Linked DNA regions of Notamacropus eugenii. Each later gene encodes a partner of the first gene's protein in a complex. Links are inferred from orthologs where the notes say so. Each region holds a gene or a part of one and is shown in the gene's direction. Other genes may lie near its edges. The genes, in order: ITGB7 and ITGAE.

The links.
Region 2: the proteins of ITGB7 (region 1) and ITGAE are in contact, whole or in part, in a cryo-EM structure (PDB 8ZJF), measured with the Homo sapiens proteins. The link is inferred for Notamacropus eugenii from reciprocal best matches to the Homo sapiens genes ITGB7 and ITGAE. Residues at the interface, in NP_000880.1 of Homo sapiens: Val201, Leu202, Pro203, Ser206, Thr207, Val208, Pro209, Ser210, Lys211, Arg213, His214, Cys216, Pro217, Arg219, Leu220, Glu221, Arg222, Leu255, Asp256, Ser257, Pro258, Thr291, Phe292, His293, Thr294, Ala295, Gly296, Asp297, Lys299, Leu300; in NP_002199.3 of Homo sapiens: Phe36, Leu38, Arg91, His92, Arg93, Gly94, Leu111, Arg113, Leu118, Ser119, Ser120, Leu122, Glu196, Glu198, Arg230, Tyr233, Glu234, Phe237, Glu238, Cys239, Asn240, Ser259, Gln260, Val262, Met263, Leu266, Arg300, Leu401, Gln403, Phe406.

What each region holds. Positions count from the first base shown.
Region 1 is NC_092874.1:226,140,958-226,149,645, reverse strand, and holds the start of ITGB7 (integrin beta-7), read left to right. Parts: upstream 1-4,668; 5' UTR 4,669-4,738; intron 4,739-7,166; 5' UTR 7,167-7,169; coding exon 7,170-7,376; intron 7,377-7,756; coding exon 7,757-7,958; intron 7,959-8,121; coding exon 8,122-8,292; intron 8,293-8,688. Other genes in the region: RARG (retinoic acid receptor gamma), read left to right, coding at 1-36, 396-554, 1,721-1,920. UniProt on the Homo sapiens protein: Integrin ITGA4/ITGB7 (alpha-4/beta-7) (Peyer patches-specific homing receptor LPAM-1) is an adhesion molecule that mediates lymphocyte migration and homing to gut-associated lymphoid tissue (GALT).
Region 2 is NC_092877.1:388,322,624-388,332,232, reverse strand, and holds the start of ITGAE (integrin alpha-E), read left to right. Parts: upstream 1-6,015; 5' UTR 6,016-6,399; coding exon 6,400-6,595; intron 6,596-9,609. UniProt on the Homo sapiens protein: Integrin alpha-E/beta-7 is a receptor for E-cadherin. It mediates adhesion of intra-epithelial T-lymphocytes to epithelial cell monolayers.

The sequences.
Region 1 (8,688 bases):
CTGGACTGCTCAGTGCCATTTGCCTCATCTGTGGAGGTACTCCATGTCCCCTGGTATCTACTGACCCTCCCATAGCCTTTTTCTTCCTGACACACTTATCCGTCCAGACCCTACAGGCCCAATTTTTCTCTAAAGCAGCTATTTCTGGGAGAGATTACCTTAGCCCTTTTTTTCTTATTCCCACCAGGTTGGATTATAAGTTTTCTCTTCTTCCTTGGCTGAGTGGGGATAATATGAGCAATTTTAGGCTTTGCTCTAGGACACCCCCAGTGGGGTCCCCCCTCCTTTGGGTCCCCATTCCTGATGTCTCCAGTCCTCCATTATTACTATGTCCTCTCCCATCCCTTCCCACAATATTCTGTCTTATTTTTGCCTCTTCTCCCCCACTTGCCTAGACCGAATGGACCTAGAGGAACCAGAGAAGGTGGACAAATTGCAGGAGCCACTCTTGGAGGCTCTGAGGTTGTATGCAAGGCGGCGGCGACCCAGCCAGCCCTACATGTTCCCCAGAATGCTCATGAAGATCACTGACCTTCGGGGCATCAGTACCAAGGGTCAGCCTGGAAGGGGGGAAGGGTGTGATAGAGGGAGGAGTGAACTGGGGAGAGAGACTGGGTCCACTTGGGAACCACATTTCCTACACACCCAGCCTCTGTCCTAGAACTCTGTCCTTGGTTGGGGGAGAGGGAGAGAAGAAGGAAATTCAGAGGAGGCCTGTTCTCTGGAGGTACCCTGACTGATGGGGGGAAATGGAATAGACTTCAGACACATACTACCTTTCTGATCCCGGGCAGGTCACTTAGCCTCTGCCTGTCTCAGGATCATAATACTTAACCTCCCAGGGTCATCATAAGAATCATATGAGATAAGATTGGTAAAGCCTGTTGTAAACTTTAGAGTGCTATGTAACTACAACTACTTACCACCACCACCACCACCACTACTACCACTACTCCTACTGTATAATAACAAACTTGAAAAAAAAGTCTTTCCCCAGTCGCCATGCGAGGCAGATGGTACAGGTATCGTCCCATTTTGCAGATGAGAAAACTGAGTCTCAGTACCCAGGCTCACATAACTAGTTCATGTTAATGTTTGCATTCGAACCCAGATCTTATTCCAAAGCAAATTCTTTACACTATATACTCCACTCCCTGAGCGCAACTGGGCCCTTCCACATGGGCACTGAAAGTTAAGTGGGTACAGTTTCTCCGAAAAGGCTTCCAGGAAGAAAGAGGAAGGAAGTAAGCAAATATTGAGCACCTACTATGTGCCAGACCTTGTGCTAAGTGTTGTACAAATATTCTTTTGTTTGATCCTGGGAGGTAGGGGCTATTATCATTCCTATTTTACTGTTGAGAAACTGAGGTTAAGTGACATGCCCCGGGTCACACTGCTAGAAAGTGTTTGAGGCTGGATTTGACCTCTGGTCTTCCTAACTCCAGGTCCAGTGTTCAGCTGCCTCTATAGAGCAAAATTAGGAAGGACTAAGCAGAGAGATAGGGTTGGGTAGAGGAGAGGCCTCCCAGTTTGAGAGGTCAATATTATAAGAGCTCAGAGATGTGAGAGCATTAGGAATGTGTCTGGTGCCAGAGGGATCGTTACAGTCAGGCTGGAGTAGGCTGTCTGCGCTGGGAAGTCCCAAGTGCGATGGAGGTGGGTCAGAGGGAAGAATCAGTGAGTTCTGATCACATGTTCTATGGGGTCGCCCTCTTCACAGGAGCAGAACGAGCTATCACCCTGAAAATGGAGATCCCAGGCCCAATGCCTCCCCTGATCCGGGAAATGCTGGAGAACCCTGAGATGTTTGAGGACGACTCCTCGCAGCCTGGCCCCCGACCAGAGCCCCCCAGCGAGGATGAGGGAATAGGGGGTGGGGGTGATGGGGACCTCAGCCCCGCCCCTGACCCTGACCCCTGATTTCCCCCTGCTGTGGTGGTGATGGTAAGGGGTTATCAGATACCCGGGTAGCAGACTGACCATCCCCACCAGTGACTGGGAGAGGATCTTACGTACCCTCTCTTCACTCCCATTCCCCAAACCAGCACCAGTTCAAGCTCCTTGTTTTTGCCAAAGTTTCTTGGGCTACGTGTCCATCCTTTACCCTCACCAAGTCCTAACTGGGCTTCCTTCCCATAATTTTCTGGCTGGGACCTGATTCCTGTGCCTTCCTTCCCACTTTAGGGAGATCAAATGGGAGGGGTGAGATGGGGTCTCAGCTATGAATCTAGGAGCTCTCTCTTGGACATCAGGATCCCTCAGTTCTCCAGCAGGGAGAAGGGGGAGAACCTTTGTTGGTGCTGAGTAGGTGAGGACCTTGTCTCCCATCCCTCCCATCCCCATCCCCACCCCCACCCCTGCCAGGGGAGACCTCCAGGAATAATTAGGAACACTAGAGACCAAAGGGAGGAGCAGGGGGGCTGGGCCAGCCGCCTCCACCTCCTTGTGACCGCTGTGCAATGCCCCCTGCCTGACACATACTGCCCTCTGCCTCCCTGTGTGCCAGGCTCAGGGTAGAGGGTAGCTGGTCCCCCCCAGTCCTCTGGGGGCAGTAAAGGGGGGCAGATGCAGGTCCGTTCTGCACCTCTTTGCTGATGGCTCCAGCATGTACTCACCCTTTCCCCATGCTTCCCCTACAAAAAGGGGAAGTATCCTCCGTTAAGAATTCTCCAGCCCTACCATGTGCCTTGGGTGTCCCCCGCCCCCCATCTCAGCCATCGGGGCGGAACCCTTCTACACTACAGAGGGGCCTGGGGAGCCCCTCCCTCTCCACCCCTAGTGCCTTCCCCCCACAATACCCCAGAGCAGCTCAGCCCAGGGAGGGGAGGGCTGCTTAGCTGATCCTTACCCTACCCAGAGGAAGCCTCTTATTTATTTATTAGCTTTTGTTTACACCCTGGAATTACCCCCCATCCCCCTGGGGGTTCTGGGGGTGGAGCCCAGGGCCCCTTCTGATTCCCAACCCCTGGTTTGTATTTAGCTGCCAAATAAAATTCCCACTGGCCCCCCTTTTTCTCTGGGGGGGCTGGGTGCTGTCCCCTCCCCCCCCTTTGTTTACATCCCCCTTCCCTCCCGCTGTATCGCATATTGCTGAGTTTTCTATTTTTGCAAAATAAAGTGATGGAAACTCATGGGATCTGACTTCTTCTGGGTGGGGAGGTGGAATTGAGGGAGGCTAGTAGGACTTGCCTGAAGGCCTAAAGTGAGGGCTAGTGGTCTGCCAGGTGCTCTTTCCCTTCTCCCACCCTCCCCTTCCCCCCTTCCAGGCTTTGTCCTCATTCTCCTCCCCTCCCCCCCCAGGCAGATATGTGAGAATACAGCCAAAGGGAATGAGATCTGGAAACCATATTGGGACTCTTAGCTGGGAAGAGGGAGGGATTGGTGTGTGGACCAGGTAGATCCACCCCTCTCCTACCTGGGCCTATATCTTCTGTGGCCACTAGAGGGTGTGGCTATGTGTGCTTCACTCAGCCTGTTCTCCCTCCAAAGCATTCCTCAGACAACCTTAGAGCCTTAGCATCTTAGATCTAAATCTGGAAGAGCCTTTTTGAGATCCTCAGCAGAAGAGAAAATAGGTCGGGGTAGGGGTGGTGGGGTAATGGTTTGTCCGAGGTTAAAATTAAGCTTGGACCATGTGTCTCCTATCACACACACACACCTCGCCCTAAACTGAGGAATTGGGGGGTTGGATCTTTTCAGAAAAGTCAGTGCCAGGAGTGGGGAGATACAGGAAAGAGAACAGGTCACAAGTGGAGAGCTGTGAACTAAGCAATCAAGAATCAGGAGAAAGTGGGACCTGGAGAGGAAACTACTGAAGAGTGAAGGCTGGAGTGGATGACATGGGGATCAGTTGCCTCTCTCTTAGGAGGGTTGATGATTAGGGGGCAGCTTCCTCAAACTCTAGCAGATCATCGTCTTTTCCTTCCAGGCTTCCTACTTCCAGGCTACTCTTTGTTTACTTAGTATCTATAGGATGGGGAAAGGGAAGGATTTAGGCAAAGAGTCACCCCAACACATTTCCCATTCCTAATGTTTGATCTCATACTCCCTAGTTCCTCGATGTTGCTTTCTACCGCAGACAAAACAATGAAGTTTCTTTTTTTTTAACTTTATTTTTTAATTTTTTTGGGGGGGGCAATCCGGGTTAAGGGACTTGCCCAGGGTCACATTGGCTATAGTAAGTGTCCGGTCCTCCTGACAATATAGGGCCTGTTACTCTATGAACTGCACCACCAAACTGCTTTTGTGAGGTTTCCCTTGGTCCTGGTTCCTCCCTAACTGTGAACCCAAGGCCAGCCTTGCCATGCTCATTCAATCCATACCCCTTAGTTGTAGATCTTTTCTCCCCATCTTGTCCTTTTCTTGTTCCCCCATCATTCACTTTTCTGATCTCCAGTCCCTACAGCCCTTCCATCATCGTCATTTCCCATTCTGCCTTCTCCAGATTTACCCTAGGTATCTCCATCCCTCCCTTCTCTCTCTTCAATGACTCCCAACCAACACTACCCCCCAGTTTCTCCTCGGCTTTCCCATCTTTTTTACTGCCCCTCCTTCATGTGTCTTCCCTGTCTCTGTATCTTCTAGCCATCCTCCCTTCCCCCAACCTTGCACACTCGCACATATTCCCCCCCCCAAGTTCCCCCTCCAACTTTGGGTGTGTCACTTCCTCCCAAGTCTGCCCCTCGGCAGATGCAAATAGCACAAAAGCGGATACTGCAAGAGAGAGAGCTCTGCACCTGTGAGTACTGGAGAACCCAATCCCCCTACCTGTAGCTCCCTCCAAGTTCGGACTCCGTCCTCCACTCCTCCTATGGGAAAGGGAAAGTTTTTGAACCAGGGAGGCTGGACCCCTGGGCTACCCAGCCTGAGGACCTTCTGAGTCCCATGGTCAGGAAGGAGTAAGGGAAGATTCCGGAGCCTTGTCTAGGTTTTAAGATGACTGTTCTGCTCCTGAAGGGACCCGTAAAGCCCTGACCCCATAACTTCATGCACACTTGCCTTTCTGATCTCATTTTTTCTCGGCAGAGCACTGAGGGAGGACAGAGGGGAGAGAAAAGGAAGGGACTTCTTTAGTACCCCAAAGTTCATTGCAATTCTTTTTTCTCCCTGGGTCCCAACTCAGCACATCTTGTTTCTAATATCTGTTTAGCTCTCCCAACTCAGACTCCCAAATGAGCATATGTTCTCTAGGGAAAAGAGGGTAAACAGACTTGGGTGACCAATAGGCATTGGTCCCATCTTCTCCTAGTGTCCATCAACGGTACAACCCTGTACGGTTGTGAACAGAGGCATCGGTACCAAAGCAGGAAGGTAACTTGGGACAAGGGCATCTGTGTTCTAGGCTTTTGTTTTCCTACCAGTGTGTGGGAAAGAAGGAAATAACAAGAGGATTGTGTACTTTAGGGCGAATATGATTTAAGGCCCTGGGTTAGGACCTACAGAAATCAGAAAAATGGGAAGAGACTAGAGGAGAAAGAGAAGACTAAGGGACACTCAGATGGGAAGAGAAAGTAAATGTAAGAGAGAAGAAATAGTAAAGAGAAATGGAGGGAGCCAGTTAGGGTTATGGAGGAAAGACATAACTTGGACTTTGATGATGGGGGTTAGGATTAGGAAGGACAGTGAGGAGGGAGCAGTAGGAGGAAGAAAGGAAGAGGGAGGATTGGTGGGGGGAGAGACTGTTACAGAGAGAGAGCCAGTAAAAATGTGAAAAGGTAATGGAGTAAAAGAAAGAGGGATTTGAGGGGAAAAAAGGGCAGAGTAGGGTGGAAGAGAAATTGGAGGATGGGGCTCAGTGGGAAGACCACTAATCTCCCCCACCAAAAGGGATAAGAGGAAGGTGAAGATTACAAACTGTGTTTTTGAGTTTGTCCCTGGGACTAGGGGTTCGAGAAGGGTGGAGGCCCTGAGCTCTGTAGGAAATGAGTCAGAGCCAGGAAAGGTGCTCATCTCTCCCCCCACAAACACATACATTAACCACACAGAAACGAGGTTAGACTGAAGCTCTAAGCCCTAGGCCCCTCAAAGCACATACCCTAGTAAAATGGGGTGCTGGTGGCGGTTCAGATTCAGTACACTGCCTAACTCTAGAGCTTGGGGGATGGAGAGAAAAGGGGAAGCAACTCTATCCCCCTGCCTCTTTTTCACCCCTTCCCCATATTCCTGGGCTCACTTCGCTCTGGCCTGCAGTTACCCTGGAAAAAGGGCGCACAGATACCTCGTCTGCATTTGTATGGCTAGAAATCTGGCCCTCCAGATTTCATATCGGCTACAATCTGGCCTTCAGGTCACATAACCCTTAAAGCCTCCTCTGGGGTAGGAGAGAGTAGTTTCCTAACTCTCAACCCTTCCTTCTCCCACCCCAGATCCTTAGAAAGTTTAAGCTTGATTCTCCTGCTCCGTTCAGTCCTCAGGAGCATTCCCTTCTCTCTGTTTCTTCCATATACCCTATTTTCCCCAATCCCTCCCATCTGCCTTCCCTCCCCCTACCACTAGCCTTCTCTTCCATCCTAATACCTGCATGTCTTTGACAATCCCTCCAATCCCTGAATGTCACAGCTGGAAAGGGATCTTTCAGATTATCTAATCCTAGCCTCTCATTTTCTACTAGATCACAAGCAGCCAGGTTTGGAAATAGGTGATTTTTTAGTTCCCCAGGGCTCTGTACACCGGGTGGGTGCTTAATAAATGTTTGACTTATCAACTGATTTGCAGTGAGGCAAGTGAGATCCAGAGAAGCCAATAATTTGCAGTTTCTCACAGCTTAACTGGCTCTGAACCCAGCTCTTTGGACTCTTGATCTCATGCTCTTTCAATGATATCACACTCCCTCCTTGAATGCAGATCTGAGTTTCAATTCTTTCACTTTTCTGAAGGTGGAAAACTAATCTGTTCTGACCTTACTGAATAGTCTGGAGTTGAGATCCCGGTTCCTCTCTCCTTCAGGAACCTAAGGCAGTCTGTCCTCCCTCTGTGCATCTCTGACCTCGGCCCCCTCCAAATCTTAAAGAACTACTGACTCTATAGGGGGAAGTGAAACTCTGGGGTGTGGAGATAAGGAGATGGGGTGGGGTTTGGACTGGAGACCACAGGCTAAGTTTAAAGACTCACGGGAAAAGTTGACCCACTGTAGCACTTTCAGACCTTTCACCTGCTTTCCATTGTAGGCTATGAGAGCTGGAGCTTTTGCAATATCCCTAGGGCTTCTGCTGGCTTTGAGTAGTGGCCAGAAGAAGCCAGATGCCAGGGTCCTATCTACAGATGACACCCTGGAGGAAGAAGATACTGATCCGTCACCTTCTGGGGCCTGCCAATCAGTCTCCTCCTGTAGAGAATGCATCCTTTCCCACCACAGCTGCGCCTGGTGCAAGCAACTGGTGAGGGGGCATTCTGGGCTGTGATTGGATGAGTCTGGGTCTGCGTATGGCACAAGTGACTGAGTGTGTGTGTGTGTGGTGGGTGCTGTGCGTGGCAGTGGGGGCCCGGCTTTCTTTTTTGCGTGTCACCTCGGGCTCTGTACAGGAAGTTTGAGGGCCTGGACCTTGGGCCGTGGTTTGGAAGCTCTGTACGCAGGGAGGGGACCGTAGGATGGGGAAGGGAGTCCAGGGCTTTTGCATTGAGAAACTGCGAAGTCAGGCCTGGGAGAGAGTGCAACTAAGGATTCACGGAGAATGAAGGACGCCGGGGATGCTGGATCGGATGCCGGACAGGGTGGGACGCACGTGGCTCCCTAACCGGCTTCTCTCCCGGCCCCCAGAACTTCACCGCGGTAGGGGAGGCTGAGGGGCGGCGGTGCGCCCGGCGTGGGGAGCTGCTGGCCCGGGGCTGCCCCTCCGACGAGCTGGAGGAGCCCCGAGGACAGCAGGACGTGCTACAAGATGAGCCCCTCAGCCAGGGCGCAGAGGGCGACGACGCCACGCAGCTGGCCCCGCAGAGGGTGCGGGTTAAGCTGCGGCCGGGTGAGCCTGGGGGCGAGGGAGGGACGGACTGGGCTGGGGGCGGCTGGAGGGCAGGAGAAGGGATCCCAACCCTACGGAGCTGGGCTGGGAAGCCTGGCCCGGCCCGCGAGCACTTGGAAGGGATGATGACCGTCCCCCGGTCTGGCCGGGACCCCACCCACAGGCGAGACACAGCGGCTCCGGGTCCGCTTCCGTCGAGTGGAGGGCTATCCGGTGGACCTGTACTACCTCATGGACCTCAGCTACTCAATGAAAGACGACCTGGAGCGAGTGCGCCAGCTGGGGCACGCGCTCCTGGTCCAGCTGCGGGGAGTCACCCGCTCGGTGCGCATTGGTGAGTTCAGCACATCCCAGGCTACCCCTAAACCAGGACAGCCTCCAGACACACACCTGGCCTGGTCTCCAGCCCCTCAGGCTACTTTGTATCTCTGAAGACCCTCCCCTTCACCTTGTACACGTGAGGCTGTCTATATCTGGACTCCAGAGTTGTCTAAGGTCTGGGCTCTCTCCCCGAACATCCCAGTTTACCGCAAAGGTGGGGCCCTGGACTTGTAGGTAGCTTTGTACAAGACTCACCCAGACCTTACCCCTCAGCCATAGCCTGAACTCCACGTTCATATCCCTTCCTATCCTTTAAACAACCTCCATCCCCAAACTCCCTTTCCCTGGTCTGACTTCATCTTCCTAGACCAATATCCCCAGTCATTTTTTTTCCCTTTTCCTAAATTTT
Region 2 (9,609 bases), on another chromosome or scaffold:
TCCTTTTTGAGTGTTTTCCCTTTGTCTCAGATCTATTTCCCTTTCAGAACTGTAGACCTGCATAAATAACCTTTTTCTGATTCCTGTGAAATCCACTCACCCCAAATCTGGCTTTCCTTTGACCTTGCAAGAATTCTGATGCAGTCTTTTTCTTAAAAAATAATAGTTTATTTTTTCCCCAATTACACGTAAAAACAGTTTTTAACGTTTGAGTTTTTTTTTAAGTTCTGAGCTTCTAATTTTATTTCTTGCTCCTTTTCTCTGAGCTGCCCCCCCCAACAGTAAGCAGTCTGGTACACATAGTACATGTGCAGTCATGTCAAACATTTCCATATCAGTCATTTTGTGGAAGAAAACTTGAACTTAAGAAAAAAGCAACAGAGTCTGCTTGGCTCTGCATTTGGACACGGTCACTTTCTTTTGATGGAGGGAGAGAGAGGTTTTCAGCACAAGTCCTTTGAAATTGTCTTGGATCATTCTGTTGCTGAGAAAAGCAAAATCATTCCCAGTTAATTACTGTGACTGTTGCTGCTGCTGCGTCATGTTCTGATTCTGCTCGTTCCACTTTGTGTCAGTTCATGTAAGTCCAGGTTTTCTCTGAAATCCACCTTCTCATTTCTTCCATCACATTCATATACCACAGCTTGTTCAGCCGTTCCCTGACTGATGGGCGTGCCTTTGATTCCCAACTTTGCTACCACAACAAGAACTGCTCTGAATCCTCTTGTACAAGTAGCACCTTTCCCCGTTTTTAAGAAAATCTATTTGGGATACAGACCTAGCAGCAGTATTGCTGGTATAGCCCTTTGGGTATGATTCCAAATTTCTCTCCAGAATGGTTGGATCAGTTCACACCTCCACCAACAATGCGTTAGTGTCCATTTTCCCACATCCTTTCCAACATTGGTCATTTTTCTTTTTTGTCTTGCTAGCCGATCTGATGGATGTGAAGTGGTACCTCAGAGTTGTTTTTATTTGCATTTCTCTGATCTATAGTGATTTGGAGCATTTCTTCATGTGTCTAGAGAGACCTTTGATTTCTTTGAAAACTGCCTGTTCCTATCCTTTGACCATGTATTAGGGAATGACTCAAATCCTTTCTCTCCCCCGCCCCCGACTTAATATTTTATTTTTTCCAAATACATGTAAGGATAGTTTTCAACATTCACTTCTATAAAATTTTGAGTTCTAAATCTCCTCCCCCCCCGCCAAGACAGCAGACAATCTGCCTATAGTACATGTACAGTCATGTTATACCTATTTCCACATTAGTCATGTGAAAGAAAAATCAGGACCAAAGGGGAAAACCACCCCAAAAAAGGGAGCAAATAGCCTGCTTTGATCTGCGTTCAGACTGCGTAGTTCTTTTCTGGATGTGGACATTTTTGGAGTCATCTTGGATCATTGCGTTGCTGAGAAGGGCTAAGTTTATCAAAGCTGGTCATGGTTACAATGTTGCTGTTACTGTGCACGATGTTCTCCTGGTTCTGCTCCCTTCACTCTGCATCAGTTCATGTCAAGTCTTTCCAGGCTTTTCTGAAGTCTGCCTGCTCACCATAGTATTCCATTACATTCATATGCCACAACTTATTCAGGTGGAATGACTCATTCTTACAAATTTGACTCAATTCTCTACGTATTTCTGATGTAATCTTTATAAACTGGGGATCCCAGCTCCTTCACACTGCTGAAGGATTCCTTGAGGCAAGGCTATGCCTTCCCTGAAGGGCTATTGGGGTACCCCTGCGGGGCCAGGCTGCCTTTCTGATGATACTGTCCAGAGCCCCCATTCCAGTGTGTTCCAGTGTTAATCATCTGTTAGGAGAGGTCATATCATTTAACTTTCTACAAAGAGATAGTTGTTGAGAAAATGGAATGAGAACAGAAAGGACAAAGCATTTCCCCTCTCCCTGCCTCAGTTTCTCCTGAGTTCCCTCACAAGTGTGGGGAGCCAAAAGCTGAGTAATTTGGCCCAGTGCCTGGCCCCCAGTATGTGCTGCATAAATGACCATTCCCTTCCCCTCCCCTTGGTTGTCTGGCTCCCTTCACCATCTATCCTGGTCTTCAGCCCTACCTACCCTTCCAAGCTGCCAAGATCACAGCCTAGCCTGACACCCCTTCCCCAAAGAACAGGAAGAAATACCCAAGAGGCCAAATTCAGGGGTCAAGATCTGTAAACATTATCACTTCTGGCCCAGTGGCCTATCAGAAGATTCCTTTTCATGAGGTAATTTTTTAAAAAGCTAACATTTACACAGCGCTTCACAAATATCTCATTGGCCCTCATAACCCTGAGAGGCGTGCTACTGCTCAGTTTCCCCATTTTGCAGACAAGGAGCCTCAGGCAGACAGTGGTTATGTGACTTGCCTACGGTCATCCAGCTAGGAGGTGTCAGAAGCTGGATTTGAACTTGGGTCTTTCAGACTCCAGGCCACGCACTCTCTCCACAGCACCACCTAACAGCCTGGACACAATACTCTGGCTTTCTTCGAGGCTGGCCCATCTTCTGTAGGAGATCTTGCCTGATGGTGGTTTTTTCCCTCCCCCTCCAGCTTCCTGTGCCCCTCTCCCAACTTTGTGGTCCCCAAATCCAAATGTCAGCCTTCACTGCCTCCTTATCCAGCTTATTCTGCATCCTCCTTTCTCTCTTGAACCTTCCACCTTCAATTAGTGATGAAAACATCCCTGGTTCCTAGTTTTTGTCCAGGACTTTAGGACCCATGGCAGTACTTTGTGGGAGCCTTGGGGTGGGGCCAGCCTCTGAAGCCCTCTCATGCCACATGTGTGCCTATGGAGACAGTGGTTGTCCCTCTGGGCTAGGAAGGCTCTGCCTGCCAGCACTTCTCTCTTCTGGCCCTGATTGTTACATCCTGTCAGTTCCCCCACACACGACCTCCTTGGAGGACCAGAAGGAGCCTCTTCCTGAGACAGCCCAGCTCACACCGGTATGGGGTGGAGGGGGCTCCTAACTTCCCTGATACCAAGGGTTCCATTCTCCCCCCGTTCTCCATCACCTTTATCCTCCATCATCTTTATCCAGCTTTCTGGCGAGGCAGGATTCCTCTGCCCCTTTCGTATCCTTCATCTTCTCAAGGAAGAAACTAGTCTTTCTGTCCTGTATGTTCTTCTATAAATTGTCCCCAAGTCAATTCCTGTGCCAGTTAATGTCTCCTCTATTCTCTTGAGTGACTGGCAGCTCTAAGATCAATCTAACCCATTAACATTTATTATCTTTTACAAAAAAAGACATTTACTGACTGGACAGCAAGGACAGAAATTACCTTCCACCTTCCTTTTCCTGCCTCATCTCCAGCCACTGGAGTGAGGAGGATTTGTGGAACAGGGCTACCCACCTGGCCACCTGCCCAACTGGTGCCTCCAGTCCATGCAAGGAAGACATGCTCACACTTGGTCATCCTCTTCAAACCTCAGGGATTATCCAAACCCAGTCTTCACCCCTCACCACCTCATTCATTCCCATCTCCCTCAATCCTCCCCCACCAAAATCTTCATCCTCCCACCCAACCCTTCCAATGTGCCATGTCTGTTCCATAAGCAACAAACTTTCCTCCATCTTAAAAGTATTCCTTTCCAATTCTTTGCATCTACCAGTTCTTACTAAAACCTGACTCCCCTTGATGGCCTGGCCTCCTTCTCCAGTACTGGGTGTGTCTTCATTCACTCCTCTGGGCTCAGGGTCCTAGTTCCCCATTGCCACCCCCAGGCCCTCCTCCTTCCTCCATCCCCCTCAGCCACACATCCTGGGTCTTACTGTCACCCACAAATGTCCCCCTTCTGCATCCAAAAACTCTGAAATTCCTTTATCTGAAGAGAACCTTGAATCCCTACCTATGCATTACTGCCATTGGCCTCAGTTCCCTCCTGGGCCATCACCCTGACCAGCGCTGGCTACTCTTTCCTCCCTTCCCATTCTCTGCCCTTATTGAGTGAGCCAGTTCTGCACTAGCCCCTAAGGCCTTGAACCCTTGGCCACTCCAACTAAGCAAGTGACAGAAGATAGGCTGATGGTCAGCACTGGAAGATGCTGTTATTTCTTGGGGGAAGTCAACAACTGTACCCAAAACAGACATGGCCTCACCTCCCCTCCAGTTGGCCCCTCTCAGGCTGACTCTCCAAGATCCCGAACAAACCAGTTTCCCCAGGATTGTCCAAGCTCGGAAGGATTCTGCCTCAACACGCTGCCTTGGGGCAGTGGGTGCTGGACAAGATATCTCAAAGGGAAGGCTGCCATGGTGGGGATTCCTTTCATGGATGGAAGCTAAAGTCCCTTCCAACTTTCCAAGATCCATCTGGTCCAACGGCCTCATAAAAGAGGAAATGCCCATTTTTTTTAGCCATAAAATGGGAGAGGGTGGACTGGATGACCCTATACTCTGACTATTTTAGCTTTGGGAGTTCCTTCCCCCACCCTCCCCTGTCCTAGTCACACCATATAGTCACCTCTCTGGTCACTAGGCGGCCCTAATTCTCAAATTCAAGATGATCCACCCTAATTTTGAATCTCTTCAAGGAGCAGGGGGAGCCCCTTCTCTGCTTGAGACTGACCAGGACCTTAGGCAGAAATCACTGAGTCATTGAGTTGGAAGGACCTCTAAGGCATCCAGTCAACAGATGGATGACCCTGGATCAGGGCATCCCTGGACAGACAAGAGTGTCCCTAACAAGGGTTCACCCAGACCCCATGGAGTGGGATGGGGGTGTGTATATGGAGAGGGGGAAGGATGTGTGTGTATGGGGGGCTCATCCAGACTTCAAGGAGGGGGAGGGCTCAGAAGTCTCTGCTGCTCCTTCCCCGCTAGGCAGAGGCCACCCCGCCTATCTTGTTCCACTCCAGTGCTCTTCCTGGGTGGATGAGGGGGACTGAAGCCCCTGCCCCCCGCCCCCCACCGCAGGAGGAAACAGTTCCCCCTACCCCCCATCTCGTTTCACTCCTGTTTGGGAAAGCTCCCTCGTGGTATTGTTGGTCTCTCTTTCCCCCAAGCTCAGATCCAGCCCGGATCTCTCCCCTTCTGGCTTCCACCTGGGACATCTAGGTGGTTCCCTGGCCCCCAGCCGCCCAGCCTTCTCACGCTCCGAGAGGCTCACACTTCTGAGGTGCTCCACTCCTGGGAGCTCCTGTTATTGAGATCCAACTTTAAACCCCCTAAGCCTGACTGGTAAAAGCGGAACAGAAAACAACCAGGAATCAAGCAGAGCAGGAACACCCTACCCCACCCCCACCCTCACCCCCTGCAGCCCTGGGGGCCGGAAGCCCCCGCGGTTCAGCTTCGAATCCCAGCTGGGCTCAGCAGCCAAAACGAGGAGCTCGGGCAAGGCTGGGGCAGAGACACCAGTGAACCCCAAAGGGACTGCCCGTGGTCGAGGGGCCACGGGTGGTGCTCCTGATCTGTCACTCAGATCAGGAGCTAATGGGCACAGACAGGCGCACAGGGCCTGGCCAGACTTGGACCAGCCCAGGGCCTGGGTGGGGTGCCACCCGTTATCTATCTGGCTCCTTGTGGACAGGACCAGGGAACCATGTTCTCCAGGAGTGCCCTCCAAATATTGAAGACAGCTGGCATGTCCCAGGAGCAGCTCCTCTAGGCTATAGCCCATGAGGGGTCAGGAGCGGGGGTCCTCCCTATCCCCTCCTTGAGCTCTGCTGCCCACACCCAATCCCCAGGCCGCAAATGAGGTTGTGTGAGGGCAGCCCCTGGTGGACATGCCACCTCCTCAGGCCTGGAAGTCAGGCCTCCCTGCCTGCAGTCCATGGTCAGTGAGTGCTGGGAGCTTGGATGACCCATACTGAAATGGGTCAGAGAACAGGGAGCCCTTGCCTAGGGAAGGTTGTCTGGGGAAGTCAGGTCAGGCTTCATGGAGGAAACAGGGGTTAAACTGAGACACCACATACTTGCCCAATATCCCCTTCAGAGACTTCCTAGGCACTGGCCAGACTCAGACACACGCAAGGCAGAAGGAACTGGGACTGGCCTGTACAGTTCAGAAATCAGTCAGGGCCCCCAGCTTGCTTCTCCAGACCACAGTATGAGTCTAGTTCACTTTGTTCAGAAAAGGGGACTTCTCCATCCCTGCTCCCTGCCTACAGGGGGACAGCTTGTCCAAGCTCATCCATGTCCCAATGCTGGAGATACTACCCAGAAGAGGCCCAAGTCCCAGCTCCTGCTCTGCCATGAGCTCCCCCAGGGGTCTCCATTTTTCTCATCTGTCAGGAAGGAGCTTGGACTCCATCAAGGATTCCTAGTGCTGGGGAAAACTTTCTGGAGGCTCTGACCTCGTTGGGAGGGTCTAGAAGAGGTGAGGTCCCTATGTACTCCAGGGCCTGGGTCCTCTCAGCTCCTGGGGCTCCCCTGGGAAAGATGAGATGAGTAGGGCTTGAAATGAAGACCCAGGAAGTTCTCCCCACACACATACACCCCGCCCCCAGGGGTTGTGGGCTCTATGTAGATGTGTGTTCTTGTGGGAGTCTACAGAGCTGTCCTGGGGAAGCTGAGGGGCTCCACAGCTGTTCCCCCTGCTCACCTTCAGCTCCAGCTGCTGCCATGAGGCTGCTATCTGCTCTCCTCTGCCTGACAGGTAAGTAAACTTGAGCCTCCCCAACTGCCTTCCTGGGGGGTCCCTTTAGTGCTTGCCTGGCCCCTCAGGGGGCCCTCTGGCCAACTGGTCCACACCTCCTCCTGGGTCAAAGACAAGAGGAAAATGCCTCTGGAACCCTGACTTCTGGACCTGGGCTCTGTAGGGAGATCTTGGGAAGTCCAGGAACTTGAATGGGAAGAAAATCTCTTCATTTCACTGTACCTGGCTTCCTTTGTGTCTGATGTATTTTATGGGGTGCCTTCATGAGAGCCCATTCCCAGGTGACCCACAAGAAACCCAGAACCCCAGCTCTTCGGTTTGGACTTCTCAAGACAGGGGAGCTACCCATCCTCCCAGGCTTCTCTGTCTCTGGCCTGCCCCACCCCTGGCCAGACTGTCTAAGTTCAGGCTAAGTGGTTAGTTCCTGGGGTCCTGGAAATGCCCCCGTTTCCTGTTTCAGCACCTTGCATCATGCCATCCTGGGTTGGGCTGAGGGGCACCTCCATCGAGATAGTGTGGATCTGGAAAATCAAGGCTTGCAGTGAAAATTGGCATGTCCTTTCTATGCTCCTCTGGGCTTCTCAGCACCAGTTCCCAAAAATGGATGGGGAGCCATGTTCTATGTGATCTGACACGGAGCTCTCTCAGGGGCAGTGGAGGTGTGCTCTGGAGGCTCACTGTCCCAGTCCTCCCCCACATTTGAAGCATTAGGCGTGCCTAAAGGCGGTGTGGTTTTTGAAGTCTGGAAAGTAAGGAGGAAAGGGCCTGGAGGCCAGGAAGAACTGGACCCCCAGACTACTGGGCAGGCTGCACTAGCCCTCTGGGCCACAGGTACCTGAAGGCCCCCTGCCCTGGCCCCGGGAGGTTCTGGTCAGGTATCTCCAGCTCTAGGCAGACCCCATCTGGACTCCCGGCTCAGGTCTGGGCACCTCCATTTTAGAGGGTCGTTGTTTCCTGAGAGAGCAGCTGCACTGGGTGGGAACTGGCTGGCCTGGAGCCCATGACAGCAGAGGATGGTTGAGGCATGTTTAGTCTGGAGAAGAGAGAGCAGAAAGAACCTGACCCTCAAGCCTTTGGAAGACATTGGCATTTGAGTCCCTGGGGCAGTTGAGAGCCCAAAGAGCTGTCACCCAGGGCTGGTTGTCAGGCTGATTTTCCCTAAGAGTTACTTGCTCTTGGAGGAGGTGGACTCCCCTCCCCTCCCCTCCCCTCCCCTCCCCCCAACTGGGCAGCTCCAGACAAATGATGGATAAACTCTGGTCTAGTAGGTCCCTGGTACATGTGGGATGAAGCCAAGGTCATTAAGGCCACTCTTTTTTCAGCACCTGCTGGGTTCCAGGCTCTAGGCTAAGCCTGATGATACAAACAGAGAGCCTTCTTACCCCTCAAGGAGATCCCAGTGAGGAGACAACAAGCAAAGGCCTCTTTATAGATGAGCTCCAGACAGGATGAACTTGGGCAGTCCCAGAGAGACAGTGCCTGGAGTCAAGGAGGCCTGAGGAAGGTTCAGGGGAGAAGGTGGGATTTTAGCTGAGACAGGAAGGAAGTCAGGACATGGTGATGAGAAGGGAGAGCATGGAAGGTGTGGGGGCAGCCAGAGAAAATGCCCAGAGAAGAGAGGAACAGCCAGGACTCGGGGTCACGAGCCAACTGGGAAGGGTTAGGAAGGGGGCAAATGAGAGTAGAGGGCGACTGCATCAGCCCTGGGTCTTAGGAAGACCAGGCAGTGTCGGAGTGGAGGGGGAGAGACCTGAAGCCAGCATGCCCCTCCCCACAGCAGACCTGCTGTCATCCAGGGATGAGGTAAGGAAGGTCTTCATCAGGGAGGGGGCAGGGCCAGAAGAGAGGAGGAGCCACTGGCCATGCATGACATGGGGAGCGTGAGCAGCCTGGGAGGAAGGCAGGTGATGTCTTTTATAGAGTGGGGAAGGGGTAGAGGAAATGACAGTGGGTTTGATTTTGGCCAAGTCTACAACACAGCCATTTCAAGTGATCTACAAGGCAGCTGTAGATTCAATTCCTGGAGGCCGAGGAGAGAGGTCAGGGCTGGACAAATAGATCTGAGAATCGTTTGCATAGAGATCACTAGAGCCTGGGAAGCCAGTGAGATCACCAAGTGAATTCGTCTAGAAGTAAAAAGCCCAGGACGGGACCCTGAGGGACAGCTAGGGCTAGAGGGTGCAGTGAGGAGGAGGATCCAGCAAAGGAAACTGAGGAGGAGCGAGGTCAGAGAGGGAGGGAGGAAGGGAGGGAAGAGGGAAGGAGAAGAGAGAGAGAGGAAAGAGAGAGACTGGCAGAGGCTGCAGAGAGGTCAAAAAGGCCCCTCCCAGCTTGGAGTTGCGATTCTGGAGAGGTGTGGGTACTGACTCCATAGGAGAGCTCATGTGGGGCCAGCTCTGGCACTACTCAGAGGAGAAGGTGGGCTGGGCCTTCTCCTCAGTGAAATGGCCATGTTGATGCCAAGGCTCCTCCCTTTGTTGAGCTGAGGGGCAGCCCTTCCTCCATCCATCCATCCATCAAGCTCTCCCCCAGGGCTCCCAGACTAGCAGCATGGGTGTAAAATGGCATCTGCATCTCTGGGGGCTGCTGAAGCCCAGCATAGAGGCCTGTTGTTGCCAGGAGCTCACTGCCCTCAATACATGTGATAGATGCTCACTTGGAGCATGCCCCAGACAGGGCTGCCAGGAAGAGGGTGATTCTCTTATCAGTTTGGGGAAGCCCAGGACAGAACTCATGGAGATAAGGAAAGAGTCCTCCCTTGTCTCTCTAAATCTCAGCCCCTTCTTCAGAGCATACCTGGAGCCCCAGGATGGTTCAGCCTGGCCTTCCGTCCCTGGAGCTTGGAGAGGCTTGTCAGGATAAGGAAGAAGTCCCCAACATGCCCAGGCTGCAGGCATGCCTCTGGGGGCAGGGGCAAGAGATGCTAGGCCAGTACTCTGCCTAACAAAGCCTCCATTCTGTTCTGGAGGAGCCCTTGCTGCAGACTGTTGCTCTTTAAGATCCCCACTGCGGGA